Linked DNA regions of Medicago truncatula. The protein of the gene in region 1 interacts with the protein of each later gene in a pairwise test. Links are inferred from orthologs where the notes say so. Each region holds a gene or a part of one and is shown on either strand. Other genes may lie near its edges.

Evidence for each region.
Region 2: the proteins of protein farnesyltransferase subunit beta (region 1) and protein farnesyltransferase/geranylgeranyltransferase type-1 subunit alpha interact in binary tests that used the Arabidopsis thaliana proteins (3 or more experiments, as listed by UniProt). The link is inferred for Medicago truncatula from reciprocal best matches to the Arabidopsis thaliana genes ERA1 and FTA.

The regions. Positions count from the first base shown.
Region 1 is NC_053047.1:1,502,116-1,518,629, reverse strand, and holds protein farnesyltransferase subunit beta, read left to right. Parts: upstream 1-9,260; 5' UTR 9,261-9,320; coding exon 9,321-9,451; intron 9,452-10,696; coding exon 10,697-10,783; intron 10,784-10,892; coding exon 10,893-10,998; intron 10,999-11,954; coding exon 11,955-11,990; intron 11,991-12,574; coding exon 12,575-12,657; intron 12,658-12,778; coding exon 12,779-12,832; intron 12,833-13,187; coding exon 13,188-13,239; intron 13,240-13,976; coding exon 13,977-14,041; intron 14,042-14,703; coding exon 14,704-14,760; intron 14,761-14,894; coding exon 14,895-14,967; intron 14,968-15,056; coding exon 15,057-15,143; intron 15,144-15,216; coding exon 15,217-15,370; intron 15,371-15,480; coding exon 15,481-15,605; intron 15,606-15,837; coding exon 15,838-16,074; 3' UTR 16,075-16,263; downstream 16,264-16,514. Other genes in the region: formate dehydrogenase 1, mitochondrial, read right to left, coding at 3,809-3,922, 4,449-4,561, 4,653-4,777, 4,966-5,506, 5,647-5,818, 6,978-7,073. UniProt on the Arabidopsis thaliana protein: Catalyzes the transfer of a farnesyl moiety from farnesyl diphosphate to a cysteine at the fourth position from the C-terminus of several proteins having the C-terminal sequence Cys-aliphatic-aliphatic-X (CaaX).
Region 2 is NC_053043.1:48,327,282-48,343,460, forward strand, and holds protein farnesyltransferase/geranylgeranyltransferase type-1 subunit alpha, read left to right. Parts: upstream 1-8,071; 5' UTR 8,072-8,155; coding exon 8,156-8,398; intron 8,399-8,552; coding exon 8,553-8,662; intron 8,663-10,208; coding exon 10,209-10,329; intron 10,330-10,439; coding exon 10,440-10,535; intron 10,536-11,154; coding exon 11,155-11,586; 3' UTR 11,587-11,845; downstream 11,846-16,179. Other genes in the region: uncharacterized protein, read left to right, coding at 446-512, 909-1,009, 1,235-1,279, 1,787-2,257, 2,642-2,815; endonuclease III homolog 2, chloroplastic, read right to left, coding at 12,553-12,705, 12,921-13,004, 13,346-13,450, 13,565-13,702, 13,879-13,970, 14,569-14,635, 15,233-15,339, 15,433-15,496 and 2 more. UniProt on the Arabidopsis thaliana protein: Essential subunit of both the farnesyltransferase and the geranylgeranyltransferase complex.

The DNA.
Region 1 (16,514 bases):
TAGTACAAGCATCAGCAACTGCTTGTGTGTCCATAATTGCCCCGCGAGCATTGTTAACAATCAAGACGCCTTTCTTCAACTTAGAGATTCTATTTTTGTCGAACAATCCTCTGAATCACAAAAAGAAAAAAGTTTGCTCATTGCTAGGTATGACTCATAGTTTACATATAAATGGACATGAATAATCTTGTAAACTAGACCGTTAATAAATTGATAATAGTATTAAATTATACCTTGTCTTATCAGTGAGAGGGGTGTTAATAACAACTATGTCGCACTTTGGTAGCATTGTATCAAGGTCGTCCTCAAACTGAGCTCCAATTTCTTTCTCCAATGCAGGCTCCATCTTAAGTCTATCATGATATAAAAGGTTACAGTTAAAGGGCTTCAGCCTTTGGAGTAAAAGTTACCCGATTCGTCCAGCACCAACTGTTCCAACCGTCTTTCCTTCAAGATCATAGGCTCTATGTGCAATACCAGCAACATTCCATTCTCCGGCAACAGCCTGCTTGTAACCAGGCAAGAAATTCCTCACGAGAATGAGAATTCTCATAAGCTCATCCTCAGCAACCGATACTACGTTGCTTCCTGTGACCTCTGCGACGGTTAAACCAGCAGCAGCCGCAGCTTTGAGATCAATGTGATCGGAACCAATGCCAGCAGTTAAAAGCAACTGTAAATTCTTAGCTTTCTTAATTCTTTCCTCGGTTACATAGGCAGGGTGAAATGGTGTAGATATCAGGACATGCAGATCGGGAATGTGCTTCTCGAGTTCTGGTAACAGTCTAAGAGATAGTCATAAGTTAATGCAATCATAAACTTTTAAGATAAAGTTTAAAGAGGGTGGATTAATTTGTCAAAATTCTAACCAGAATCAGGTCCTTCTTTGTCATCAGTGACAATGTATTCATGTCCTTGTGATTCAAGCCACTCACGTATACCTAATGCTCCTTCAACACATCCAACAAAATTGGGATTGGATGCAGCATTCTCATTTCCTTTGTAGAACACACCTACAATTTTCTTCTTTCCTTCAGAGGCCTATTCTCAATAATAATTGTATAAGAAAAGTCAAAGAACAAAACAAAACATACATAACTGAATGTATGAGCCGCTGTTAAATGTATCAAAATTACAAAAATATATCTACCCGTAAAGTAAGTTTTGTTAGTTATTTTAGTTTAATCTTTAAATGTGTTTTCCGTTGATCATTTTAATCAATAAAATTACGAACACAAATAAGTAACTTGTAAACTACATTGATAATACCTCACACATGAAAAGACTAAAATAATTTTCTCTTGTAAATGATAATATTAAAGTTTAATTGCACTTTTAACCCCCTAAATTTTTTAATTGTCCGATTTAGACCCCTTGATTTTTGTTCGGCGATTTTAACCCTACAAGTTTCTCAGTTGTGCAATTTCATGATGCCTCCCACATTTTCCCTCAATTTTGGTTGACGTGGCATCTCTAAGTGTGTTTGTGCATGGATATTGCCAATTTTAAAAATTAAAAAACACAAAAACGAAGAGGAAAAAAAAGGAAAGAAGAGCACATGATTTCTAACAGTGCCCTTCCTCTGTACGTCATTTTTTAAAAATCTTTACTGTTCATACATTTATCGACACTTAAGTAACAAATGTTATGGTGTACAAATAGGTAGCACACATAAACATGAATGTGGACTTGACTCTGAAACATGAGAAAACATGACTCTCATATGATCAATCATAAAAAATCGTGTTTTGACAATCAAATCAACAATCGAACAAAGATAAAAGGTAAGGAAACAAACCATTTTTTCAAACTTCACTCAAAATTGAAAAGAACTCACAAATTGTCTAAGAAGAAAGAAATGTGATGTAGTTCATACACACGAAAGGAAACATAAATAATCATCATGCTGTATTTACGGATCACGCTTAAATGCCTTTGTGATGCCAAAGACACCATGCTTTTGGACCAAACCCTTCTGAGGAAAAAGATGCGTAATAATAGCCCAAAAAAAGAAAGAACAAAATGTGCAGAAGAATTATCAAGCTTTACGTAATAAAAACACAAAAGACTTGCTTAAAATTTTGGTTTTAGAGCATCTACAAAATTACAGCAGAGACATCTATTTTTTTTGGTATTAAACGAGTTTCACTTGTACGTATAATTTATTTATAATTTTTCTCCCACCAGTATTTCACACAATTTTTTTAAATAAAATCTATTAATCATTTATCAAAAACTTTATAACATTATATTTCATTCTAGCCGTTTGACAATGGTTGTGGGTGAAGCTTTAGGGCTCCACTTTGCTCTGCAATGGTTGAGTGATATGCAGTTTGATAATGTTGATTTTGAGATAGCCTCAATTTGGTTGTATCAATTCATCCTATCGTTCAACAATTTATTTTCTAACTCTAGGGTGGAGTTTGTTAGGCGACAAGCCAACGCGGTTGCTCATGCTCTTGCAAGAGAGGCCACGTCTTTAGCTAGTCCCGCCGTTTATTTCGATATACCCAATTATATTGAAACTATTATTATCAATGAAATGCTATAAGCATGCTTCCCTCAACAACAAAAAAAAAAAACATTATATTTCATTATTCTAATATTAAAAAACATAGGTTCCATCGAAAAAAAAGAGTGATTCACAAAGCACCTCTTCACAATATGTAATCATTTTTTTATTTTGCTCTATAATGAGTATCTTTTAGGTATCTTGCCTTTAAGATAAGACCCTTCCATCCATTGTGGATGATTTTATTTTTCACTTAAGAAATTGGTTCCACCATTATATTTTTCAATATTATTTTTTTACATTGCAAGACAAATTGGTAGTTTTTATAAGAGATATATTCAGAAAAAGAGTAAAAAATACATCTAAAAATTTATAGAAATGTTAAATTAAGAGTCAAACACATTTTTGTAAAAAGTCTTACAAGAAGAATGAATTATTATATGATAAAACTAGAAATGACACTTTGTAGTAGATATATAACACTTATAAAAGTTTATATATAATATATTTAAAAAAAAATGTTTATATATAATAAAAATTTGTCCAAGCTTCAAGTTGCTTAAAGACAGGCCTGCTGCAAGCTATTCTTTTGAATTAGTGATATGGGAGTTCATAACGTGATTTTTGAACTAGATTCTAAAATAGTTAATAGACTCTGAAGCACTGACATTTTTGATCAAAGACATATTTGACGTTCGACACATGTTTGTTCGACACCGATATGAAAATCACTAGATTCTAAAGTAGAAAGTAGTAGACTCTAAAGCACTGACACTTTTGATCAAAGATGTGTTTGACGTTCAACACATATGTCGACATGACACTGGTACATACAATTACATTTAATTGTGTCTGTGCTTTATAGATAGATCATTTTAATACCCATACTTTTGAATCATCTGGGTTGGGTTATATAATAAAAAGTTGTATCCGGTTTAATACCCTATATTGTCCAAACTCAATAATGGAATTCACTAGGAGGCATGCTAATGTAGTGACTCGTGGATTATATCAGTTAAATATTTTCAATTCAAAGGTTGAATTGTTTAAATTCACATTCTACCAAGAGTAATTCAATGCTTAACTCAAACACACATACACTAACTACCAACAGAACACTGAAATTCAGAAAAAAACACAAGAATGATACTTGTGTCCATTGCAATTTTATTAAACAAGTTACAACCTCAACAAAGCCGAGTACATTATTACAATGCCGCGGATATCTTTATTTAGTAATTCATTGGCCTTAAAAACACAAGACGCAGAAGTCAGAACCACTCTTCGATACTACATTCACCGGTATTGGCTTGCCAATTGACCCTCCTTCACAATGTAGTTCTGTTCAGGAAAGTCTTCACCCTTAAAGTGCTTCTCAAGCATATCTTTGACTCCAGCAGCATAACGTAACTGGACAAGTTTCAATTATTATCATCATCAGTGTTTCACACACAAAATGGAGAAAATGTAGTCAATGAACTTAGCCAAACAAAAAGGTTATGTATGCATAGTCTAGAACATTAACAATGTTGGCATGATGTTGGCTTTCTAAAACAGTTTTTTGGATTTTGATTCATGACACAGTTGATGTATCACATAATCACATTGTATTTATAAAGGGTACAAACACTCGTGTAATAATTCGAGAAAATAAAATAATTGTATGCTACCACATGTGTCAGTATCAAATACGGACACATGTTCAATATTGACACGTGTTGGACACTAGACACGCCTACAATATGAAATGTCGGTGCTACATAATTGTTTTCATTTCTCCTAGTATATGGCGCTACAGTTTGCCTCAAAACTATCATTTAAAAGCATGCATGCAAAGTGTGAGGCTAAAATGAAAAGAGAAAAAGAATGAAAGGACTAACTCAGAAACGAGAAATTAAGATAAAGGAGTGAAGTAATTTTGTCAAAAATAAACTACCTGTGCATCAATGGTAGTTCCAGAAATATGAGGAGTCATAGCATGATTAGGCATGTAGCGCCATGGATGATCTTTTGGAGCTGGTTGTGGGAACCAAACATCACCACTGTAACCTATAGATGAAACTCAGGTGTTACATTACTTCAAACATAAATTTTTGTTTTGCTTCGAAACACATTTTATGTCGGCTGGTTTTAGAATTACCTGCAACGTGTCCACTGGAACAAGCATCAGCAACTGCTTGTGTATCCATAAGTGCTCCGCGAGCATTGTTGACAATCAAGACACCTTTCTTCAACTTGGCAATTCTATTTTTGTCAAACAATCCTCTGAATCACAAAAAGAAAAAAGTTTGCTCATTCAACGCATGAATACACAACGCATGGAATACGTACTCACACTCATCATTCAAAACCAAGTCATTTTGATATTGGAATATCTTGAATTCCCTTATAGACTTCAGATTTCAAGTGTCAAAAATAGCTTGAATAGAATGCTATTAGTACTAAAATTATACCTTGTCTTATCAGTGAGAGGCATGTTCATAACAATAATGTCGCATTTTGGTAGCATAGCATCAAGATCCTCCTCAAACTGAGCTCCAATTTCTTTCTCCAATTCAGGCTCCATCTTAAGTCTATCATGATATAAAAGGTTACAGTTAAAGGGTTTCAGCCTTTGGAGTAAAAGCTTCCCGATTCGTCCCGCACCAACCGTTCCAACTGTCTTTCCTTCAAGATCATAGGCTCTATGTGCAATTCCAGCAACATTCCATTCTCCGGTAATAGCCTGATGGTAACCAGGCAAGAAATTCCTCACAAGAATGAGAATTCTCATGAGCTCGTCCTCAGCAACCGACACAGTGTTGCTTCCTGTGACCTCTGCGACGGTTAAACCAGCAGCAGCCGCAGCATTGAGATCAATGTGATCAGAACCAATGCCGGCAGTTAAAAGCAGCTCTAAATTCTTAGCTTTCTTAATTCTTTCCGCAGTGACATAGGCAGGGTGAAATGGTGTGGATATCAGGACATTGAGATCAGGAATGTGCTTCTCAAGTTCTGGCAACATGACAAAAATTAGTCATAAGTTCAAGCAATCACAAACTTGAGATATTATCTGCATATTCTTAATTAAATATATTTGTTTAGTTACTGCATAGACGTAATAAGAGGGTGTATCAATTTGGCATAATGCTAACCAGAATTGAGTCCTTCTTTGTCATCAGTGACAATGTATTCATGTCCTTGTGATTCCAACCACTCGCGTATACCTAATGCTCCTTCAACACATCCAACAAAATTGGGATTCAAGGAAGCATATTCGCCGCCTTTGTAGAACACACCTACAATCTTCTTCTTTCCACCAGAGGCCTATTCTCAACAACAGAAAAAAAAAAAAAATGGTAATGCATAAGAAAAGTCAAAGAACAAAACAAGCATACATAAAAGACTAAGGTAAACTACTAAAACTGTTATTTTGTGTGAAATTGTACATGCTATTTAATTTCATTTGACAAATTTTTTTAACATTATTATTTTAGCTACACCAAAAATTTAGTCCTAGACAAGTATAATGATTATACTAATGTAGGATTGCATACATTTATTAGATACATTTATTTAATAATAATGGATAGTGTACCCTACACCAATTTTATTCCACAAAATTTAAAAGGGGGGTTTGGAAGAGCTTACGTGGACTTCACTTCTAATGCATGTACTTACAAGAAGCTTATAATATAATGATTATTTTATTTAATTAGAAAGTGATTATTTTATATTCATAAAAACTTTTCAAAGTGATTATTTTAATTTTCTATTAATTTTTAATTTTAAAAGTGGTTTATTATAATATACGGATGACCCTTACAAAAATAATGCACGGATGACAACTTCTAAAAATAATTATTTAATTTTAAAAAATATGATATTTTTCTCTCACAAAAGCCATGTATGTAGCCCTTAATTAAACATAAGGTCTAAAAACACACTCTTTTGTCCTTAAAAAAAACACACTCTTTTCATGCACTTTTATTTATTTTTAATATAGAATATGATAAAAAATGTTAATAATAGCGTTTTTATAAAAAAAATATGTTTTGCCATTCAACTTATCTTAATTGATGTATCGACCACGATTAAGACTCATTTTTAAAAGGTGAGATCAACGTTAATTTCATTCAACTTATCTTAATTGATGTATTTGATTTTTTTTTTTTTATAAGATAAGTTTGACGAGTATTCTATGTGACAAGTGTTGACTGTTGAAAGAGACAAGGGTGGCATACTGACATCGCGTGAATGTCACGGATCATCACGATGCATGCAAGAAAGAGCAAAGAAAATTGACATATACCAGATCAAACCAAACCTTCTTTTGAGTTCTTAATTTATCATTTTTGGATAAATTGAATTGTTAATAATACTAATGATTACTTAAAAATTGATCAAGAAATTAAAATGAAAACATGAACAAATAAATTGCCAAATGATTGAATGAAATTAAGATGCATGAAAAAATTGAGCTTACATGAAGGTCTCTGGTGATGATGGAAGAAGGTGAAGAAAGTGATGAAATCTTTGAAGAAGCAGTGATCAAGGTGGAAGCAGCACGTTTCATAGCCATTTTCAAACAATTTTTGTTTCAATGAAAGTGATGAAACTGAAAGTATTAGAGAGAATAAGAATGGTTAGTGAATTGAGAAGAGTAATGAGGGGGGGTTTATATAGGAAAATATTGAAGGATATTATTAGGAGCAGTCAGAATAGTGAAAGACTACTTAACTTAACCTGAGTGAGGAAGGCTTTACCCTTTCCAACTCCAATCCTTTTCTTGCCTTTTTAATGTGAATATATGTAAAATTCTTATTAAGTTTTTAGGGTCGCATCAACAACAATTAAGTCTTATGTCATAAAGTTAAATCGGTTGTGTGGATGAGGTGTAACATAAAAGATTTGAAGGAGGTCATTGATCATAGTTATGTGTTCGTCTAAATATGTTTAACCGCAGTTTTTATAGATTTGATGCATTATTATTTATTTATATGATTACATCTATTTTTTTTTTTGTCAAATAGTTTAGAATTCACCATTTTTAAGGTGAATAAATGGGGTGTTTGGGGTTCGAACCCCGACCTCTGCATATAACAATGCATGTCTCTGCCAATTGAGATATGCTAACCGAGACAATTACATCTAATTTTTAATCTCACATAAAAGTCTATATTCTTTTTTAGACCATACCTCTTTTTGATAAATTTAATATTAATAGTATATATACACAATGGAAATTCAATTATTAATCTCACACGATAGAAATAAATGGAAGCATATAAATAGGTAGATAAACTTTGACCAGCTTTAGTAAAGTTGGAATTATTTGAGTAATAATTGACTTTCGTTTCATTATATTTTTTTTCCCTCAAAAAAATAAATTTCATTATATTTTTTTAGAAACACTCTTTATAGGAAACAAAAAAGAAATTGAGTTCTATTAATATAATACTATTTTGTAATGTAAGTGTTGCTTTCATTGTCTATGTGTCACTCTTACTATTAAATATTGCATTTGTTTGCTCTTTTGTCTTTTGCATCTTTGTGTTTTTTGAAGTTGAATTATTTGTGTGCCCTCATCTCATCTTATCTTAAATACTTAATTTAATTTTGTTGGAGTTAAGTCTATGTAAAAGAGATTTGACATTAGTAAGAGCAAAGTTAATAGTGACCATTACCAAAATAAGAAATAAAAATGAATTATTGTTCACCCCGAACAAGTCATATCAACATAAAAAAGTAGTGGGACTCCTAGCAAACTATTTATTCTTTATGTGTAATATCATTTATCCTCTTTAGCATCTTGTTCGTAGTTAATTTGGTATTTCATCGGTTGATCTAGCTGAAATTGCATATCATTTTGTTCAGTTTGCTAGCTTGGCAGATTTTTCAAAATCGCGGCAGTCTATAATGCATTTAGTTTGGTTCTCTTGGAGATTGAAACAACATGATTTTTAATAGTAAAGGAAGCTCTAATTATCATTTCTTGGACAAAATTAAGCTGTTTTTTTTACCAGTAACCGAAGAAAAAAGTTGCTCATATTGCTTTTGACTATCATAGTTGGTGTCGTAGCCCTTTTGTTTGTGTGGGCATAGGTTAATTTATGCTTGTTGATTTTGTTTTGATTGTTACTTAGGTAAGACTTTGATGTTCTACTATGTACGTCTTGTGCTAGATAAAATAATTTTTTTACTGTTAATATATTCCATTTTACCTTGTTAAAAAAATGTTTAAATATCTAAATTAGTCTGTAAGATTTAGCCTAAACGGCAAATGTCTATATCGTTAGACTTGACATTTTCACTTGAGTTTGAACTAAAGACCTTGCAGTTGTGTGTGCGAGGTTTTGGGGACGTCTACCAATTCGTCTACAACTATTTTTTTTTAATGTGGTAATAGATTTTTTATTGATGACAAACGAAAGATCAAATATTGAATAAAAGAGATATAAATTGAGTAAAGAGAAGTGATACATTGTAGATTTGATCTCGTATCCAACCATATTAAACATTTTTAACATCTGAAACATATAATTTAACTGACAATGTCAGATCTATTAGGTTAAACATCTTCATTCATATTCAAATCGAATATTGCAAATGTGCGTAGGTTTTGGTGATATTTGTCTCTTTGTCAAAAAAAAAAAAAGAGTTTTAACGCAACCCTTAAAATACAAGTCATGATTGGGTTGGGCCTGAAAGATTAACAAATGTTTACAGGCCCAAATCTCTTAATGAGAAAACAAAAGAAGATTAGTCAGATTAATTTTCCGTTCAATTTTTACACAGTCAGTTCCAGAAAGCACCGACGGTGTATCCGATGGAACCTTCATCTGTGGTGGAGACACCATCTCCAACGGTGAGTCAAAGAGATCAATGGATAGTAGAATCACAAGTGTTTCAGATTTATCAACTCTTTTCTACTATTCCTCCTAACGCTCAATCCCTCATGTAACTATCTTCTCTCTCTTCATTCTCAATTTTTCAATCTCAAAATTAAATTTCATGTATTATAATTATCTCTTTGTTGATAGTAGTTAAAAGTTAGTTAGATTAGTTATACTTGTCATCTTAGTAGCAGTGACACTTTTGATCGAAGGCGTGTCCCGACACCAAATAATAATAGCAGTTAATAGTAAGTTAGATTAGTTGTACTCGTTATCTCTGTAGCACCCGGGGCATGTCTAATCGAATGCATGTCTAGTGTTCTGCACGTGTAAGTGTCCGACACTGAAACATGTCATTACATTCAATTATGCTATTTTGTCAAATAAGTTTGGAAATAGGTAGTTAAGACTTAAGAATTAGTTAGATTAGTTTTACTTGTCATCTCAGTAAGACCGACACCTTTTGATCGAAGCCCGACATTGAAACATGTTAGTGCATTCAATTATGTCATTTTCTCAAATAACTTGTTAATAGTTTGTATGACTTAAGACTTGATTAGATTATTTATACTTGTTATTTCAGTAGGACCGACACCTTTGATCGAAGGTGTTTCCCAACACCGAAACATGTTACGTTCAATTATGTCATTTTCTCAAATAAGTTTATGAATAGGTAGTTAAGAATTTGTTAAATTAGTTATACTTGTTAGCTCTATAGCACCAACATTTCTGATCCAAGGGGTGTCCAGTGTCCGACACTTGTAAGTGTCCGACACGTGTAAGTGTCCGACACTTCTGACTCAATTATGTCATTTTCTAAAATAATATCGTGTGCCGACATGTCAACGTGTGTTGTTTCTGGTGTTTACATTATGCTTATGTTTTGTTCCCCTTTCGTGGGTACAAAACTTGCATTATGTAAAGATTTAATGTACGCTACATGGTTGATCCTGCCTGTAGTCATATAAAGTTTGTAACAGGTAGCTAAGTGTATATTTGGTTTCACTTCTAGAGGGGTCAATATGGATTCTAGAGGTGTAGAATTGATTCTTGACATGTTTGTTTGCTCTTGAGTAGAATTAATTTTGCCTTTAGAATTGATTCTACTTGAATCTAGAAATTGGAGCTTTTGATTCTAGAATTGATTTTAACACTCAAATTTATTGTTCAACTCACTTTTACATAAGTGTATCCAAACGTAAATCACTCAACTTTAAACTCACTTTTAGCTAGAATCAATTCATTAAAAAACAATTTTTTATCAACGCTGAACCAAACATACATTTATTATCTTCATTTTATGTTTCAGGTTGGAGTTGCAACGAGATAAACACATCGAGTATCTTTCTAAAGGACTTCGCCATCTCGGTTCAGCTTTTTCAGTATTAGATGCAAAGTATCGATTTCTTTCTATTTTGATTTTTTGCATGATTGTTGTGAATTCTGTTATTAGTTTTTGATATTTGAAAAAAAATGGTGAAGTGTTGCTGTGGTTTATGGTGCAGTCGACCGTGGCTGTGTTACTGGATTATTCACGCAATTGCTTTGTTGGGAGAAACTATTGATGATGACCTTGAAGATAACACAGTTGATTTTCTTAACCGTTGCCAGGTATATTATATTTTCATATCACCTGACTTATTATGAATGAATAGATGAGTTGATATCTTCATTTTTTTTTAATTTAATTGCCGCTGGTATGAAAGTTTTATTTAGATAATATCTAATTATATCTTAGAGTTTAGTGAACATACAATGGCACTTTAAATCAGTTTTTTTTGTACACTGTTATCCAATGTGTGACAACCATTTTTCCATCTCATACAATTAATTTCAAAATACTCTTATAAAAGATGGATCACGTGGAAAAATACTGGATTGGATTTTTATCGAAAGTGTAAAACTAGTTTAGACTGACATGACATATCCTTATATCTTAATGTAGACTTTTTTTTTGCTATTGGCCTAGTGGCCCGCACACACGGAGGGGGAAGTGTGGTGACCTGAACCTGCATTCTACATAAAATGTGCTTACAGCCAAACCACTAAACTGTAATAACGAGGACTAGTGTAGACATTTGTCTATCTATTTTAGGAAATAATGATTGTACGTCTCCACAAAATATTTGTACAATGTCGTTGCATAGGTGTTAAACTCTTCATTCTGTGTGTTTTTATGCTGTACTAAGATAGTAAGATATGATTAGACATTTGTGTGTTTGTATTCATGTATTTTCAATGTATGTATCGTTACAAGTAAAAAATAATGACTGGAAAATTATAATTATGCACTATACTGTATTACTAACTCTAGACTCTATAGTTGTTAAAAAAAAAAAAAAAACTCTAGACACTATAGTGCTACTTGTTTTTTCCACTGAACCATGATTTGTTTGGACTTTTATTTATGTACTGGTTTTGATTGAGTGTCAAACATAGCCCAGATGATCCATTTAGTTGTGATGTTTTATCTTATTTGATTTGAGAGAGGATTTCTTGGATGGTACTTTATCCTTATTATGACATTCTACCTCCTTATGAATCTCTTGTTTTTTAAATGCTAACAGGATCCAAATGGTGGATTTGCTGGGGGACCTGGCCAGGCAAGCAACTGTTACACTTTTTTACTTAATTCTAGTCTAACATCAAACTATAGTTTTGTTGAATTTGATTCTTACTTCTCTCTCTTTGTTACTATGGTTTATTGTCTCTTGCTAACACCACTTATGCACATCCATAGAAACTTATACCATGGTTAGTTTTAAGTATAATATCCCCCATAATTATAAATACTATATAGCTCTTTCTTTTATGAATACTATGAGAATATGTCAAATGGTGGTTTGGTATCATGGTTCATGCATGGTTCAGTTCAGTTGTGTGAAGTAAGAACTAAGAAGGCAGTTATGTTTGAGTTCGAGCCAAGTTCAGTTGAATAAGTTTCAGCTTTATTTTTATCTCCTTTCCCCAATTTTGTTGATTGAGTTATAGTCAATAAGTACTTTATAATCTTATATTTTCAATGTAATGCATATTCCATGTATCTGTTGGGTCAATTTTTTGCTGTAACTGCAGTACTTCCTGGAAGGACCATAATATTTTCAAAATTTTATGCTGCGTCTTTCCTTTATATTCTTTAATTGTTCGAAAAGCATAATGCTTATGATATCTTTGAAATCTTCCTCAGATGCCTCATCTTGCCACAACTTATGCTTCAGTCAATACTCTTATTACTTTGGGTGGTGATAAAGCTTTGGCATCAATTAATAGGTGGTCAGTTTATTCTTTTCAAAGCAAGCTCTAGCAATTTTTTGTATCTTTTGTTCGGTAGAGTTCTGTTCTCCTGTATTTGGAATTGATTTGTTTTACACTTTGAAAATATTATTCTCAGAGATAAATTGTATGGGTTTATGCGGCGGATGAAACAGCCAAATGGGGGATTCAGGTATGGTATCATATTCATCTCTGTGCCTTCAATTAACAAAAATAAATTAGATTGATGCCTGCCCATATTCATTTTATTGTATCTGGTTGCTTTGACGTGTGAATGCTTGCACATATTGCAATTATTCACACACATGAGCGATGCCAGATTTTGATTTGGTAATGTTTGTGGGGACACGGTGTGAAAATATAAATCTGCTATCCTGCACAAATTTAAATGGTGCGACTTTGAGTAGTGTGTTAAAAGCATTTCTTAATGCTGATTATTTTGTTGACACGTTCAGAGTTTATTTGGGGAATCATCTTTTTGTTTTTATTCATTATTTTTATTTTCAATCATCAAATGTTTTATTCAGGATGCATGATGAAGGAGAAATCGATGTTCGAGCATGCTACACTGCCATTTCTGTAAGTGGTTTTCTCTGTTTCTGTGTCTTTCTTCCACACATGCATGTGTAGATGTGTTAATATGCAGACATTGCACTTTTTGGATCTCATCATGCATAGTTATACTAGTTTTTTGTTTGTTTTGAGAGTTATACTAGTTATTATAATGGTCATTTTATTGTATTAGACATGGCCTTGATAGCATATTACGAGTTAGGAATGAAAGGATGCTAGAGCTGTTGGCTAACTTAGACATATGTTGTCAATAGCGCCACTACAGAGCACACTATAGCAGAATAGCATAGCATTGGTAGGGTTCGGCGCAACACCATCTTCCTGCGAGCCGCCTTCAGCAGTGGCGTTTGTTGCGTCCGGAAATGTGGTGGAATTGCGGCCTCAACCCGGACTCGCGCCCGCTATTAGGGTTTCAGGGAAAAAATCCCCGAAAGTGACCTACATTATTAATATTTGAATTCCCACGTTTATTTTCTTGTGTTTTATTTGCGTTCGTTCCTCACTTTCTTCTGTGTTTTCTTCTTCGTCTTTCATTTGCTTGCTTTCGTTCTGCATTCGTTGTTTTGTTTGCGTTCGTTTGAGGTTCGGCACTATGTGCCGCTATATGAGATTAACAACATGGACTTATACTTTTTCTACCATTATCCTCTATGATTTTCATTGTGGGAGGGGAACACTTTTAATGCCAAGGCTGGTAAAAAAAGATATCTATTTCATAACACTGGGAATCTTGTTGGAACCAGGTAGCAAGTGTTCTAAACATTTTGGATGATGAGCTGATCAAGAATGTTGGAGACTTCATATTAAGGTTAGTTTCAAGATGAACTTGCTTTAATTTTTGGAATTAAATCAAACTGAGTGTTTCGAGCTTGATTCTACAATATTATAATGTTAATTTCAAGAAGCACTTGCAATGTTTAGACTATAAACTTTTTACTAGTCAAACTTATTACTTTTGTTCCTACAACTTTGATTTTTGAGTGGTTTTCCTTAAGTTCAATTTGCAAGGGTTCAAAGTATGCTTGCATTTGAGAAAACGGGGAAAACGTTTCTAAGGATCTCTTCATAAGTATGTGGGGCCTCACACGTGACCTTTAAGGTATAAACAATTAAAAGTGGTATTCGTCATGACTTTGGTGGTATGGTGGCGAGGGTAACTGAATTCTCTCCATTTTTGCTAATCTAGTGGGATTGGCAATAAGGAAAACTGTCATCTTTTCATTAACTGAAACTCACACTAGCCACAATGTTGTTGCCTTTGGGAAATGTTGTATTGGGGTACTGAGTTCTCTCCATATATTTATTTTTTTATTTTTTATTATTTTGCGTATTTGAAGGTTTCATAGAACTCTGGGTTTCTTGCTGTGTACAATAGTTCGTTGGTCAACTAGAAAGTGAAATAATTGATTGCATGCAGAGCACTATATGTTATGTAATACATGTCTTATACACTAAGCTGTTTCTTTGCAGCTGTCAAACATATGAGGGTGGCATTGCTGGTGAGCCTGGTTCTGAGGCTCATGGTGGGTATGTATCATACTTTCCAACCATCCTTCTCTCATTTCTCTTTATACCTCTTCACAATTATATTATTTGGAATAAAAAGTCAATCTACCCTCATGATAAGTTATCTTATATTTTTACTATTTTTTCTTTATCAGGTATACCTTTTGTGGATTAGCTGCAATGATTCTGATTGGTGAGGCTAATCGCTTGGATCTGCCTCGTTTACTTGTAAGAGAATTGCTCTTTTTAGTGGCTTCCCACAAGTTTTATGAACTTTTTAAGTTCTACGAAATATAACTTATGTTTCCTTTCTTCAGGATTGGGTTGTATTTCGGCAAGGTAAGGAGTGTGGATTTCAGGGGAGAACAAATAAATTGGTGGATGGATGCTACTCGTTTTGGCAGGTGATTGAAATTTTATATTTTCTTCATCAGTCTTTTCTGTGATATAGTTGGCTAAAAACATGAAAGTATTCAGGGGGGTGCTGTTGCACTATTGCAAAGATTACAATCTGTTATTGAAGAACAAATGGTAGAGGCATCACAGTCTTTTACGAAATCTGATGCGCCTGACGAAAAGGAAAGTTCGGCTGGAACATCAAGTCATGCAACTTCCCGTATCAGGCGTGAAGGTAGGTTGATTTTGAAGCATATATTTGAAAATTTTCTTCAATCACAGAATTTCTTTCTATATTCATTTCTTAGGACATTAACACTTCACTTTAAATTCTAATTCTTGCAGGGATAAGTGAATCCTGTTCATCTGATGTTAAAAATATTGGTCTTAACTTTATTAACGAGTGGAGAGAAAGTGAACCGCTTTTTCACAGCATTGCCTTACAGCAATATATTCTTTTATGTGCACAGGTATGACTTTTATAATTTGTATATTGGTTTCATGTGTTTTTAATTTCTTTACAAAGATATCTTACTTGATCCCATGACAGTTTGAAATGGAAATTCTGCTTTATATAATTGCATCTTGTCCAAGAATTTGAACATTTGATTTGATTCATCTGACATTATATTCTGTAAATATGCAGATGCTTAAGTTGATATTTTAATTTCTGTAACTGTAATTTGTGCTTGATTGATGCAGGAGCAAGAAGGTGGACTACGGGACAAACCAGGTAAAAGGAGGGATCACTATCACTCGTGTTACTGTTTAAGTGGTCTCTCATTGTGCCAGTATAGTTGGTCCAAGCGCCCAGATTCTCCACCATTACCTAAGGTAGTAATGGGCCCTTACTCCAATCTCTTAGAACCCATCCATCCTCTGTTTAATGTAGTTTTGGAACGATATCGTGAAGCTCATGAATTCTTTAGTGGTTTGTAACTGGTGACATGGTTTTAGCTACCAAGAGCTCAATCTGTTGAATGTAAAATGTAACATAAATGCATTGGAACATCACATAGAAATAGGAAATGTCAAAAAAAAACATTATTGGATGGAATTCATGTGAATCTTATGAACTTGCTTGGTTTTCATTCCTCATTTGATTTGGCCCTTCCAAAGGGGTTATGATTTACAAGAGTTGTACCAAATAAGACTAAAAGAGTGTGTTACTTACATATCTTATAGAGATTTGTTTTATACTGAGTTGGATGGATTGAACCAAAATTAGGTGAATCAATGCTCTGTCGAGTCTGGAAAGGACGAGGAACCAGTGAAAAATTGGAGAAACTGTTAATTAAACTGATGCACAATAGGTGGATGTTTGGTTTGATCTTTCCTCGATTTAAATCAAAAATGTTATCGAGTGCCCTCGAGGCACA
Region 2 (16,179 bases), on another chromosome or scaffold:
AGGATTTCGGGTTGGTTTCTATTCTTTCATTTGGCCAGTATCAATCGGAAGACAATTACCTATAACTAAAAATTAACTGCACGCCCAATAGTTCAATTATTCAACGTGGGATGTCATGCAGTTGGCAAACAACTACAGGCACCTCAGATCCATATCAATAAAATGGGATGCAGGTTTTATCCTTTGTATTATTTTGCCATAGGCATGATTACCAAATCTGCCGAATACAATTCTTTACTTTGCGTTTCTGCAGAATCTGGTACACTTTTGAATGCTGAATTTACAATATTTCTTAGCAAGAACTTTTTCCACTCCTCATTTTCTTGAAAACTTTCTCATCTAAATTTTGTCTTCAATAATCTTGTCATGATATTATAGCTTATGTTCGCATATCAGTTAGTTTAATAGTTGTGCGGAAACTGATTCTGTCTTAAACCTCCTACAGGGAATAGTAAGTGTTGCTGATATCATCGGGTTCGGTGGTTCAGAGACAATATCCTCAAGACTGGATGGTATGTACATGAAATTTCAGTCTGTAGGCATTGGACACATGATAATTTTTCTATAAACTACTATTTTCTCTCCAGTGTATTACTATGCAAACATAACAGTCAACAAAGTAGTATAGCAGAGAATCTTTAGACCGTATGCTATGATACCCAGCAAAAACTTTTTTGGCATGAAAGGAAAAGGACAACCCTTAAGGTCAATGCTGTATTAATTCAAAACTTCAAAATATTAACCAACCTACTAAGCCAATTTGTGTCGGAAAAATAATGACATGATTCTTGTTGAGTATAATATCATTTAACAATCATGCTTTGATAGACAATAATATACATGCAATTTGTTTCCTCATCATTACAAAGGAGGGGCAGTATCAAATTGATCTATCTGTGACTTTGTAGGCTATCCGAAATCCTGGTCCAGTTCCATCGATCTTGTCAGTGTTCTCAAGAATGAGATTCGTGACGGGCAATTGACCTTCAGAGGAAAAAGAGTTCTTGAGGTAACTAATTGAAAGATATTTTTGCATGCTTTAATGCCTTGATTTGGTTGTCTTTAATTCTTCTTATGCTTCATCCTCTTTTTCTCATTTACAAATGCTCTCAACGTTAACTGTATGGCCACAAGATTTCTCTCTTTTCTTCTCCCTTGAGCCATATTTTTCAATCTTTTTAGTTGTATCTATTATTCATAATTTAATGATCTCTTCACTTCATGTTCCGTGCAGCTCAGTTGCAACTATGGACTTCCTGGAATCTTTGCTTGCTTGAAGGTATACAGTTGCACTTTAGGTCTCAGTGCTCACTTTCTCCTTTCCTTGGTCATTTGTCACTAGTTTGTGTGTATTTGATAGCTGGAAAGAACAACAACATTCATCTTGTTTGTGTAGGTGTTGGTTTATTGTAGTTCGAATACTTGAACTGCAGTCAAATATATTTTGTAGTTATTCTCAATGTAATAGTGTCAAAATTGGACTTCCAAGGCACTGTGCTTTCACCTTCTTTTTATGCCTTCCATCTAACTTGTCACGTTGACGAAAGTATATAACAAACAGAACAATGTCTTCCTGGTGCCACCAACCTAAAGATTTTGGATTCTTTTTTGGTAATATTTGCAAACTGACAAACAAGTTCTGCTGCAAGAAGAGAAATTTTTTAAAGTCTTTTGGTAGAATAAAAACAATGGTTAATTGGCTATACTTTTTTTCCCAGACGTTCAAAGAAACATTCACTCATTGGAATAATATTCTCTGTCCTCTAAATGGTTCTTTATTTCACAGGGAGCTTCCATTGTGCATTTTCAAGATCAGAATGCTGAAACTGTAAGATGCACAACTGTACCGAATGTCCTTGGTAATCTCAAGCAAGCTCGTGATAGGCAGAGTCGACAGCCAGAGTCTCCCCTTACTCCTTCAAGGCAGACTCTTGCACCATCTGTTAACTTTTATGCTGGGGACTGGGAAGAATTACCTGCCGTGTTGTCTACTGTGAAAAATGATGGATATGAAGCGACACCTGGAATGAGTTTGAGCTTCTCTGAGGAAGACTTTTTGGATGTAGGCAGTAGTCAAGATGGTAGCATCATTGGACACGAATCTAGTTCAAGAAGGTCTAGGAAACTCTCAGGAAGTCGAGCATGGGAAAGAGCTAATGAGGCAGATCAGGGGGATGGTGGCTATGATGTTATTTTAATGACTGAGATTCCATACTCTGTTAACTCTTTGAAGAAGCTGTATGCTCTCATTAAGAAGGTTTGTTTCATTATACTTGGTTGTCTCTGCACTTTCTTATTTTAATGCTATACTAAACTGCATATCCTGTTGTCATCAGATACTTATTGTTGTGTCATCAGATACAACAAATATCAACTTGGTCACCGTCTAAGTATACCAATCGGTGACCATACCAATTTATTGTATTTGATTACACGGCAATAAGTCGTAACACCATGGCATACAAAACACAATGAAATTTCATCAAGGTTAGAAATAGATTTTCAGACGAAGTAAGGAAGACACGCGCCATATATCCACCCACACTACAATGAGTATTGCATCGATGGCATTGTCCTGATTGCATAAGTTTCCCCTTGTCAACATTCTGATTCCTATTTTCTGGTTTCCCTTTTATAACAGTGTATAAGGCCTCCATATGGAGTGGTATATCTTGCTCCAACTAAGAAGCACTATGTTGGCTTTAGCAATGGAGTACGACAGCTGAGAAATGTGTTAGATGAGGAGGGCATTTTTGGAGTGCATTTGGTTAAGGATTTGGCTGACAGAGATATCTGGAAGTTGTTTCACAAGTGAACAGGAATTCAAAGATCAGATGGATTATTATAGCAAACTTCAGTGAAAAAAAAATCTAGACAACATTCATACTCTGAATCATTCTTTTGTTTTTTGAATTAATAATTTCTCCATTTTTCTTATAGCTTTAGTAAATAACGGAGGTCTGAATTTGTAGAATTAGTTGGACATGCATCATGTTCAGTGCAAATCAATCTCATTGGATTGTTTTGCACACTCATATGGTTGGATAAGAAACTCGCATATTGGAATTGTAAATCAAAATGGTATATTGAAAATTGAAACTATCCTTTTTGTTGGATTATAGATCCTCTCTAGCACTTCCTGTTCCGTGATAGTCATATCTTCTTTCCTAATCCAACCGTTGATCGACCACAGAGAAAAAAGTAGATGAATGATCGAGACTAAGATAAAATGGACAACAGAGAGAGGATCAAAATCTTTTTCAATTTCAAGGCATTATAAACCCCATTTGGGTTGGCATGGTGGTATTGACCTGAGATATGGAAGTGTGCTCCTTCTTGAAGTCTTAGGTTCGATTCTCTTCGGTGTCAATTTGGGTGGGTTAATTTAGATTCTTCAAAAAGTAAATTTCAAGGCATTATTTTTTATTGGGTTAATATATGTTTACCCCTATAATATTAGTGATTTCCGTTTACCTCTTGAAAAAAATTTGTTTAGATTTCAACCCTGTAATTTGAAGAATTTTGGTTTTGGATCTTCATGAATTTTGACTGTACAAAATCGATGATATGGTAGGGTGGTAAACCGAAATATTGATGATATGTCAGGGGGTAAACCGAAATTCTTTCAAATTACAAGGGGCGAAAGTACCTTAAATTTTGTAATTTGATGCCATGAAGGTTCAAAATCAAAAAATCTTCAAATTACAGGGTTGGAATCTAAACAATTTTTTTTTCAGTGGGTAAACCGGAAATCACTAATATTACATGTAAACATATATTAACCCTTTTTTATTTTATGTTTATTATTATTTTTTAATGAAAAATTTACATGTATTTTTGTTTGAAGGAGGATCATGTATATCATATGTTAGTTGCTAATACTTTTGAGCTTTTGTTTTTATATGGCAAATATTCGTGTCTGCACAATTTCTTAAAAAAAAAAAAAAACTTTTTTTTACATTAAAAATTGTACATGATACTGAAACAACAAAAAATAACTTTTTTTTACATAAAATTATCTAGTATCTGTATTTTTTAATTCTTAACAAATGCCCTAAATATAACAACAAATCATATTAGATAAGAACATTCACTCTAATCAGATAAAATGAAGAACAATTTTTGCAACAAAAAATGATAGTTGCATAGGAGAGAAACATACACAATAACACACATTAAGAACATGTTTTGTTTGGTAGTGGTACAACCATTATACGTCACACACATTTTAATAAAAAAGAGAAGTGTTATTTGAACAACCAATTTGGTGATAATTTATTTAACAATTATATTTTACAAAGAAAAAAGTGGTATTGACACGGAAACCATAACAATAGAAAGATAAAATAAAAATTAATGTGAGTATGCTTGTTGCAAAAATTATCACTAAATGGATGTTCAAATATCATTTCTCTAAAAAAAACTCAATTATCTTATTTAAGAAGAGGAATCTTTATACTAACAATTTAAAGTTTTTAGAAATAGCTTATTCCAAATTCCTCTTTTAAAGATGTCCACATCATCCTAATCCTACTTGGCATTTGTTCCAAAAATTTTCCCAATTATTAATACAAGCTTAATAATTATAATTATTATTAAAAACCGTTTTTTATTTAACATTAAATTATACATAAAATGCATAGTTGGTTACAATCAAATAATTATTAATATAACTATTGTTTTGATTAAGATTTATATGTTACATTAAAAATTTGTACGTTACAATCAAATAATTATTAATATAATTAGTATTCAATTAACATTTATACGGTACATTAAAAATTTGGTAGGTTACAAATTTATAATAAATAACTTGAATAAATTATATTTTAAATTTTGGTCCGTTACACTATGACAGAAACCTACTAATTAAAAAATTTAATTGTAGTAATTAGTTTTTAAGGTTATATAATTAATTTGTATTCATTACAAAATTATATTACTTAATATTAATAAGATATTATTAAATTTCAAATCTTATAAAGTTAATTTTTTGTAGGTTACATGAAATATAATCTAATCGTTTAATGTACATTTTATAATATTAAAGACGTTGATAATATTAATTTTAAAACGGTCAAATTAACAATTAATATATATATATATATATATATATATATATATATATATTAATCGTTATAGTATTATTTTCTATATAAATAGTAGCAAGTTTGGGTATGAGTACACAACAATCACAAAATATAGTTTTTTTTTTCTTCTTTTGTTCTCTGGTTCTTTGATATCTATGTTCTAAGTTATTTCTGTAACTTTTTATTGCAAAGAAAAAGGTCTACAAAACACGACTTCATCTCTGATGTTTCGCCAAGAAAATAATCGTGGACATTGGTTGTGAGGGTTGTTCGTGCTTGGTTTGTTCAAGACTACAAAAATAAAAAACTACCATTTTCCATGGAGTTGGTTCTAATGGATCGAAAGGTACTTTTTTCATATTGTTTTTTTTTTTTTTTTTGGTATATTTTTTTGAAGTATAGTGTTTTAATCTTTGTTATCTCATAGATCACAAATTGAGCTTGACAGATAGCATGTAAAATGACACAAAATGAAATATTAGCTCAAATAACACTCTTCCATGATCCTAACACAGTTCTAGAGCAGAGTCATCATGAACATATAGCAACAACGCATATGCAACAAAGTTTATCAATATTTTATGACCTTTGTATTTTACCTTTATTTTTAGTTGCCTGATCTATCTCGCATTAGCATATTAGAAAAGTTTTTTTAACCTTACTCTTACGATCACCATTAATGAGTTGAAGAACTTGCATGTAATTGAGTGGGTTGACATAGATCTCCTACTTTTTTCTAACCCACGTTTGGTGGAGGTTTTAGTTTGTGGGATTCGGTTAGGAACTTTAAGAAGGAGGAAGTGTTTGTTTGGAAAAGTTGAACAATGAATTCGAAATCAAAATTACAGTAAAGTATAACAAAATTAGGTTAGAGTGTTTTAATTTGTGACTTATGATCACTAATTAAAAAAAATGATGGAAGTAGATTAAAGAAAGTTGTTTTCTGTCAATTTTTTTTCACCGGAGATAATTTGCTTCCGAGAGAAATACTCTCTCCAATCTTAAATATAAAAAATAAATAATTTTTTTTATCTTAAATTAAAACAAATATAACTTACTTTGACTCTATTTAATGTTATTTGTCCTAATATACATTTTAATTCATGTAAGTTTCAGTTTAATATTTTTTCATTCTCATGAAACACATTCCAATATATGGTACTTTAATTTTTTTTTATCAAATCAAGAAAACTAATTGCATATAAGTGAAATTTTGAAGTTAGATATTTTTTATAATTGAAATCCGAGAGTATTGTGATTAAATAAAAAAGTAATAATATTATTCATACTGGTAGATTAAAACGGAGGTAATCATACCTGTTTAATATATTGAATGACTGAGAAACCAAAGTTAATTTGAACTTTTATTAATTAGATATATTTTTAAGAATATATTAATTATTTATAGTGTTTTTATATTTTAAGTATATTTGTACTTTTGCCCACTATTTTATGACTCATAAAAATATTTCTTTTAAGAAAATGGGATGCAGATAGATCTGCGACACCCTAATTACATTAAAATATTTTTGTTTGTAAAAAAAAAGACTGGGGACATAGTAACCCAGTTAAACCAAAAAGGTAACCAGCCATATGATAATACAATACATGACAATCTAATGGGTAAATAAACAAATTCGAATTCATAATTAGACTCACACATCATGTTGCACAATCCAGCGAACCCGCATTTCGGGCACAAAACCAATGTGTAAAAGAAATGGGATGTGTGAACTGACGAGTCTCGAATTCCAATTTTGAAGCCGGTAAGAAACTGATCGCCAACACCAAAACAAATCCACACGCCACCAACCCACTGCATCTAACATGACAACAACCAGCTTCAAATGCCATTTCTAGCCATACACGTCACTGTTGACAAAGACGACAACGCCCCCATTTTCGGTGAGACCATTTATGAAAAACACAACTTCGAAGCAATGTCGAGCTCATAATCAGAATCAGACCGTGAAGGGAAAATTCTACCACGATTTGTAGGATAACACAAAAGCCGATGACAATGGCAGCGAAAAACCCAACAACCGTCGTTGAAACACAACCATAATGCTCGCTAACCCAACCACCGCAAAAGATAGGAGATTCACAGCGGTTTCAATAAACCAAGAAGAAAAATCTGATCCGCAAAACATGAGACAACCGCATCAGACTATCGCTGTCTAGAAACCAGATTTGAGAGTAACAATCCATAACAGGTGTTGTTTGGTTCGATGGAACCGATCCTAAAAAAGGGGTTCTAGGAGGTGGTCAAAGAATCACACCACAACCTCCTTGATGCGTGAGGTTACATTGTGAAGGGAAGGTTTGGATTTGGTAGGATGAGCAAAGAAGGTGGATGGAGGAGAAGGAAGGCGGCTCTCACAAAAATAGTTATATCTTTTTAAAATTTAATTTTTTTTTTGTCTTAATAAACGGTGATTTATTTTTTCAATTTTACATATGAGGATAGAGTACCACATAATGTCAAAATTTTGAAATAAAATTAAACTAAAAAAGTCAAATAATATCTGAAAACCTAATTATGTGTAAACTCCGTTAATTTTTTTAAAATAAAATGAATCCCGTGCTTGGCACGGGAAGTTACACTAGTGTTTTATACATAGCAAATGATTGGTTCATGAATGCTTTTGTTACGTTTAAAGAAGGGCAAAAGCGCTTCATTAACTTCAACTTCGAATTTTGTGGAACTCATATCATAGTTAAGTATAAATTTCACTTATCACGATTACTTTTTTGTATTTTATTTAAATTATCACTTTTAAGTATGAATTTCATCTAAAAAAACATATTTAGAACATGAATATGAGACAATTTAAGAAATTAAAGACAAATGATTGATGATCGAATTGATCTAATATTTAATTAAATTATAGACCTAATATTTCGTAATTTTATCCACATTATATTTTTTAAATTTCACACATAGTTTATCCCAAAAAAATAAATTAATTGTTAGATTAGTATTTTTTTTTTCTTTCTACTCCGCACATGTTAAGAACACCCTAGCAGTGAGAGAGTGAAGAGAAGTGAAGAAGAATCAAGAAACGATGGCCGGAAAAATCGAAGATGAAAGCAACGATCGCGTGCCTCTGCGGTTGCGACCGGAGTGGTCCGACGTAACTCCGATTCCTCAAAACAACGGCCCTAATCCAGTAGTTCCGATCAACTACTCCGAAGAATTTTCCGAAGTTATGGATTACTTTCGTGCTGTTTACTTCGCCAATGAACTTTCATCTCGCGCTCTTTCTCTCACCGCTGAAGCTATTTCTCTAAATGCCGGAAACTACACCGTAATTTCACAATTCGAATTTCTTTTTCCTTTTTTGAATTCAGATTTGATGCAAATTGAAATTAATTACTTATTGATTTTGATTAATTATGAGTTTTTGAGTTAATGATAATAATTAGGTTTTTTAAAGTTGTGATCTTGTGATGATTTTGTAGGTGTGGCATTTTCGACGGTCATTACTTGAGTCTCTGAAAGTTGACCTACATGTTGAAAGGGAATTTGTGGAGCGTGTTGCAAGTGGAAATTCCAAGAATTATCAGATTTGGTGAGAGATCTTTCTTACTTGGTTTGCAATTTCAATTGCTATTTTTAGTGATTTTGTGTATAGGGCACGCGTTAAGAAACCAAATATAGAAATATTGTATTGGAAGATTGTATTCGATTCATTGCAAGCTTAAAAATTGTTTTTTTAAGCTCACTCACCAAGCTACCTTCTGGCACTAGTGATTTGCAGCTAATTATTCTAGGTTATTTTAAGTACATGGCTTGTTTGTAGACATGGAATGGCGTTATGTGAACAAACCATGTTGTTTGTGCAACAAGTCCTCTGAAATTTTGACAAAATGGGAATTTATCGCTTGTTAGTTTGAACTTTGAAGTAGATGCAAATATTAAGCAGGGTAGCTGTGGTAGCAAAATTAAGAATTGTTGTCATGTGACTTAGAGCTCATAGGTTCCAGTCATAGAATTATATTGTTGGAATATGACAAGTTTAAACATATATTTGACATGGCTAGTTATTGTGGCATTTTCCATCTATATTACAATGTAAAAGCACACAAATTATAAATTACAGCTAGGAGTATCCAAACTCCAAACTGGTATCTGTAACGTGTTTGATACGGTATAACTATATTATGGAGTGACCATACTTCCCTGTAGGGAGCATTACAGCACTATCTTTTTTCCCAGTTTTCCCACTTGAGTTATTTGCACTAGGCTATATTGTGTTTGGGACCTTATTTTACCATTAATAGTGGACTATGGAAAATCTTAAAAACTATCTGACACAACTAATTAAGCGGCATTTGCGTCTACGTTGCTATACAAATAATCAAGTAAAATGCAGCTAAGAGTAATCGATGTGGTATTGATGATGGTTCACCACTGTTATGAATTTGATTACTATTTTTGAAGTGTTTCTATGTAGTAAGCATTAGGCTTCCTTCTTAAACTAGTTACTGTACCTGGTTTTTTTTTTTCTTGCTGAAAGTTGTAGATCTGTATTCGATGATCCCTTGTGCTCTCCAAACGTCACTTGCATTGTCTTTGGGTACTTATTTTAGTGGAAATGGAAGTATGGTAATAATGGATAAAACATATTATTTCACATCCAGGAAGATAGATTTTTATGTTCAAAAGATGATGCTCTTTCCTCCAGTGTCAATCCGATATAAGTAATATGAGTGGACGTCGCACACTCTAGTCTTTGTTCAATGCAATACACAAAATAAGTTTAGTGGGCTAAGCATAACACATGTTTATTGACCTCCAGTGACCTTTACATATTAAACCATGATGGTGATATCCAATAGCATAATGTAATAATTCACCAGGCAAATGTTGCTGGTCTGAGACTAGAAAATTGTTCTTATTTCTTGCATATTACTTCCTTCATGGAATTGTAAAGAATGTTCTTCTTTGTTCATATTCGCATGACATTCAGTTGCATGATTTGAGGATATAGTTCATATTTGATAGTCATTTCTTATATAAACCATATACATTCATGAAGTCGTACTTTGAAGTGCTTCCTTTGTCTTCTTTTGCATACACATCATCACATTGATCTTGATGTCAGATGTTTATAGGCATCATAGGCGATGGGTTGCTGAGAAATTAGGACTTGAAGCTAGAAACAGTGAACTTGAGTTCACCAAGAAGATATTGTCTATTGACGCCAAACATTATCATGCATGGTCTCATAGGCAGGTTTGTTTCTCCTATCTTTTCCACGAATCTAATTTTCAGATGGTGTTGCCTGTTCATATTATTATCATGACTCAATAAAATTTTGCTTCTTTTTTTGCATGGACGGACAGTGGGTTCTTCAAACCCTAGGAGGATGGGAAGATGAACTCAATTATTGTAGTGAACTGCTTGCAGAAGACATATTTAACAATTCTGCTTGGAATCAGGTATCCGACTATTGTACATGTTATGTTTAGTTTTGGTACATGACATAGTAAAACACAGTATATGATTGTTTTCTAACTAATTGAGAGATCAAACACATGTAGTATTCCGTATACTTAAGTCATTGTCCAAAATGTTACTTTTCCCAATAATTAAAATTGAGAAACATTGGTAGACAAAGCTAAGCTAAGCTGTTGCTATTTAAATACCTGTACACGAATAATCTATTATGAAAAAGAGAAAAAAGGGAGGTCTTAGAAATGCTTTCTATTCCTATTTGCATTCTAAATTTGGTGTGTTTGCCATGTATATGGAATAAGTCTACAATCTATAATTACTTTCTAATCCTATTTGCTTATTAAATGTAGCGTGTTTGCATTGTACTCCCTCCGTCTTTAAATATAAGCAAAATTGACTTTTTAGATTCATTCATTTAATGATGTATGTGGTTTATAATATGGACCACATACATCATTAAATGAATGAACATAAAAAGTCAATTTTGCTTATATTAAAAAACGGAGGGAGTATGGAATAATAACTTGACAATCAATTTTACTTTTAAAGCATTTTTTTGATATTTTCAAATTCAATAAAATTAACTCGTAATATTTTATACAGAGATATTTTGTCATAACAAGGTCTCCCTTCTTAGGGGGGATTAAAGCTATGAGGGAGTCTGAAGTGCTTTACACCATTGAAGCCATTATTTCCTACCCTGAAAATGAAAGCTCTTGGAGATATCTTCGAGGACTTTACAAAGATGAAGCCACATTATATGTAAATGACACTCAAGTTTCTTCAGTATGTTTAAAGATTTTGAGAACAAAGAGCAATTATTTGTTTGCTCTTAGTACTCTCTTGGATCTTATCTGCCTCGGTTATCAACCAAATGAAGATTTCAGAGATGCCATTGAGGCTTTAAGGACTTCAGATAATGAAGAACAAGATTCAGATATAGCAAGAACTATTTGCTCTATTTTAGAACAAGTTGATCCAATTAGAGTCAACTATTGGGTCTGGCGTAAGAGTAGACTTCCTCAGGCAGCTTAATACCGTCTGTAATTTATACTTTGTCTATTGAAATTGGATGTCATGAACACCCTATGCTTGACTAGTATTTTATTTTTATTTTTTTTCTGACAAAGAGAAGCTTGACAATTAAGTTATTGGGTGAAAACAGGGTGGTTGTTTTTGTTCTGATATGTTTTCAATATGTATTTCTATATTTAACAGGGTAGTTGTTTTTGCCATGATATGTTATCAGGGCGTACTTTTATAAATGCAAAATTGTGCTCTTTTGTTCCCGCCATTACTAGCAATTTAGTGTGACAACTTGTTAAGTATTGGAACTAAGTTGAACAAAATATATTTTTCACCACCTTCTTTTCTTGTTTTATAAAAAATGGTCTTCTACTTTTGCGTTCTTAACATTGTATTAACGAACCACTGTGATAATATGTTGAAGTGTATAATTAGGCATCTATCTATGAAAAACTTGTTTAAATTAATAAAACCTATTGAGTCAACCTGTATACTATGCTTGATTCCAATGTCAAACAGGTAATCACTAAGTGAGAGATGGACGGAGTAATATCATTCTCAATGATTCCGTGGTAAACATTTTGTTCAAAATTAGAATAAACTAATTCTTAAACAGGTATTACAAAGCTGGTAAGTGAATACAATTTTGAGACAAATCAATTAGTTTAAACATTCAATTTCACTACAATGCTGTTAGAGACTTGTAGTACTATTATTGAACCTGATATTTAATATTGACATAACAAAACCCAGTAACTAAAGGCAATAGAAGGGAAATTAAACATGAAAAAAAAATTAGTTGAAGATATGTAATTCTTCAATACATACATCTCTTTTAGTTAAAACAAGAGTCTTTCTTCAAAATATATACATCATCACTTAGATAGACACGGGTGTGTTCAAGATATTTCTCATTATAATTTGATCACATAAAATTCTTAACTATGTATGTATATCAAATCTGAAACAAAAGAATCAGCTTGATTCAGGCTTCTTATTCAATTGAGATTTATTGGACCTCGAAGATGAACTTGAAGTCTCCTTGAACGCCGACGGGCAGAACCTACTTACACCACACTCTCCACAGCGAGGCCGTAAAGGAGTACAAATTGTCCTTCCAAATCCTACCTGTTCAACTTCATATTTAAGCTAGAAGATGCTTTACATATATGCATACAATGTTGTAAGATAGATGGTATAAGAGGCCCAAAAATGTTTTTGGCAATGCAGAAATAAAGTAACACACCACATCCAAAATATAACCATTTAGGTGCATTTGTTCCTATACTATCTATAGTACTATACTACTACATAGTCAAAGAGAGTGAATGTTTAATTCATACCAAAAGAAGATTTATTGCAACCCATTCTTCCCTCGGAAGCCACCGTTCCAGCGCCTTTCTTGTTTCTTCGGGTATTGAAGTTCTCTGGCATGGCACGAGGAAGATAATTATTAACTTTGAATTTGTGACACTTAGAAGTTATTGGAAAAAGTAACAACTAGCCAATCAAAGAGCAAAATTCTTCCTGCTGACAAACACCGACTGACAGTCAAGCAAATTTTGGAAACCATGATAAACAAAATACATGTTCTGATAATTAAATTGCATTCCCAATATGTTGTAACATACATATTGATCACATAACATAAGCCTTGATATTGTCAAAAAAATAAAAAAATAAGCCTTGATAATCTTGGACAGTAATAAGCATAATTTTTCCTTCTAGCCGACAAATATAATGTGATGCTACCAAACTTAAAACAAACCTGTTTTGTGCCGGGTCTCGAAACCCATCCAAGACGATTGCTGATGCGGTGGACATGAGTATCTACGCATATCCCTTGGACATTGTTCCATGCAATAATCATAACCTACAGCACCACTAACAAAATGATTTCAGGAAATAAAACTAAAACCATTAACAAAATGGAGCTTAAAACTAATGAAACAAACTGTTTGAAATACGAAAAGAAAACTGTACATACCAAATGAGCAATCTTCGGACCTACGCCTGGAAGTGAGAGTAGTTCCTCAATTGAGTTAGGTATGTCTCCATCATACTTAGTGAGACAAATATCAGCAATTTTCTTCAAGTTACCAGCTTTTCTTATATAAAACCCAACCTGAGAAAAGAATGCCCAAAAGCATAAGCACAGATATTCAATTAATAAAACACAAAAAGGACATAAAATAAATTGACACGCTAACATCTTATAGAAATACTGGAAGTTTCAAAAGTGGAATCTTTAATTTTCCACCAAATCCAAATTAATTGATCAAAAGCTACCAAAGAACATACAGGGTAAATCTGTTTTTTGATAGTTTCTTCATCAGCTTTGTTGAGTGCATCAGCAGTAAGAAGACCATTTTGACGAAGACGTTGAGTTGCTCCTATTCTTGAAAAAAAACACACTCTTAAATATGACTAAACTTGTACGAGAAACTACCAAGAATCAATCACATAAAAAGACAGATGATAAACACAATTGGAGGCCAATGTGCACATAATGGCTGCTCAAATTTTCTTAGATTAACACTTCATTGGTTTTCAAAGTTCAGCCTTCTACATCATGCAATATAGGAAGTATCTAATTTTTTTTGCGCTTTCTTTCTGTGTCGGGCCTTGTAATGGATACATACTAATTTTTAGTTCTGATGTGATGTTGTATTTTTGTGTGTATTCCAGAATATTCTATAAGTTTCAGAAGCTTCCCAAACATCTCTTACACTTCAAAAATGTTCAGAAAAAGTTTAAAATGGATATGAGAAAAACATGGAAACGCTAAATCAGTTTCCATTTCACCGAATCATGCTCAAAACCTTCTTCTAAATGGACCAAACTACTTCATACAGTTATGTCATGAATCATAAATATTGTCGAAAAATAATATTACGATCTTAGAATGAAGCTTCTCAAACTACGAACAAAAGAAAACAAATCTCGACATGTTTTTCATGACCATAAACTTGAGAATGTAAATGTGCTTACCGCGAGTAACATGCTCCTTAGTCTGGCTTGATAAAAGAGAAGATGCCAGGACAGCAAATCTTCTGTCCTAATTATATGCATAAGAATTTAGTTTATTATGACAGTAAAGTTATGCACATTAAGGTTCACACTGTTATTGAAATCAAAATAAAATATTGGCCCGATAGTCAATAGCTAATAGCTAATATAAATTTAGTTTATTATTAAAGGTTTCTAACTATTAATGACTGATAAGAGATTGCACAGAAGAGAAATATTAGTTTGGTGAGAATTTGTAACGCATGTATTGGTTGATAAATGACTAAAGCTATGTTTGGATTGATGGAACAGAATGGAATAAACAGACATTGGTTGTCATTGTTTGAACCTCTATTTCTCTTCCCCAATTAGGGATATGAGATGGAATGGAACCATCATATCATTTACTAAACAACGAAAATTACCTTCAATATTTCATAAATCACCAAAACAATGGTATGGTTAATTCCTTTCATTCTATCTCATATCATTCACCGATAATTATGTATCATTTTAACCAAACACAATTAAACTGTCCAAGAAATAACTTAACTTTATAATCACATTAAAGACATAAGCCAAAAGGTTAGTGCTTAATTTCTTTCACCATGCGCGAAGTCAATATAAATAGCATATAGATTTAGACCTTAGGAGGATGAATATCAGCATCTTCCCGATCACCGGTAGTGTCTATCGAATACATCATTTTGCGAATCCCTTCAAGCACGTTTTCCCAATTGGCAGGACTCTCATCTACATAAATAAACAATAAGCTCCCTAAACTTAAAACACTTCCATAGAATAGAATCAACCCAAAACTGTACATTTGTTGCAATAAGCACTTACTAGTTTGACCCAATCCATTTGTTCCTGTGTATGCAGATCCTTCAATCTCAGTCAAACCAAACTTCTGTGTAGTAAAATTACTAACATAAATTATATTGCAATACATGGAAATGTGAACATTTGAAGAATTCCCAAAAAAAAAATTGAAAATTGCTTAGATTAGAAAAAGGGTAAAAAAAAGTCTCACTTTTTGGTCTTGAATTTGCAGCAAGTGCTTCTTTGGTTGAAGTTGTGTAGTGTTTTTGCGTGTGTTAAATTGGAACACTAAAGAGATAAAAAAATGAATGAATTTTAAGGAAAAGGAATTGAAAATAAGAATGGGTTGTGAAGAAGTTAGTAGCTACCTTGGTGTGGATTGGTTTTGGAGGAGAAGCATGTTGCTCTTGTAATGGAAGAGAAGACAGAGATTCGCACCAAACAAACAGAAACATAAGTAAAAGGAAACACAAACATTTTTGGAAATTGTCGGGGAACTATAACGAGCTATACATACTATTTTAGGAGGGACTAAATATTATATTATATTTATGGATTAATAATGATTTATCCGGTGTAATATAGAACACTTTTGAATTTGCCCAATGTAAAAAAAAAATTAGACTTCGTCATTGTAAAATAAAGATTCTTTAGAATTGACCCCTGACCCTTATGATTCATTAGAATCTCTTACGTGGCGCTGATGTGGATATTTCTTTTTATTTTTTATTATTTTTTTCATTGATCACATGTATAATTCATTTAATACAT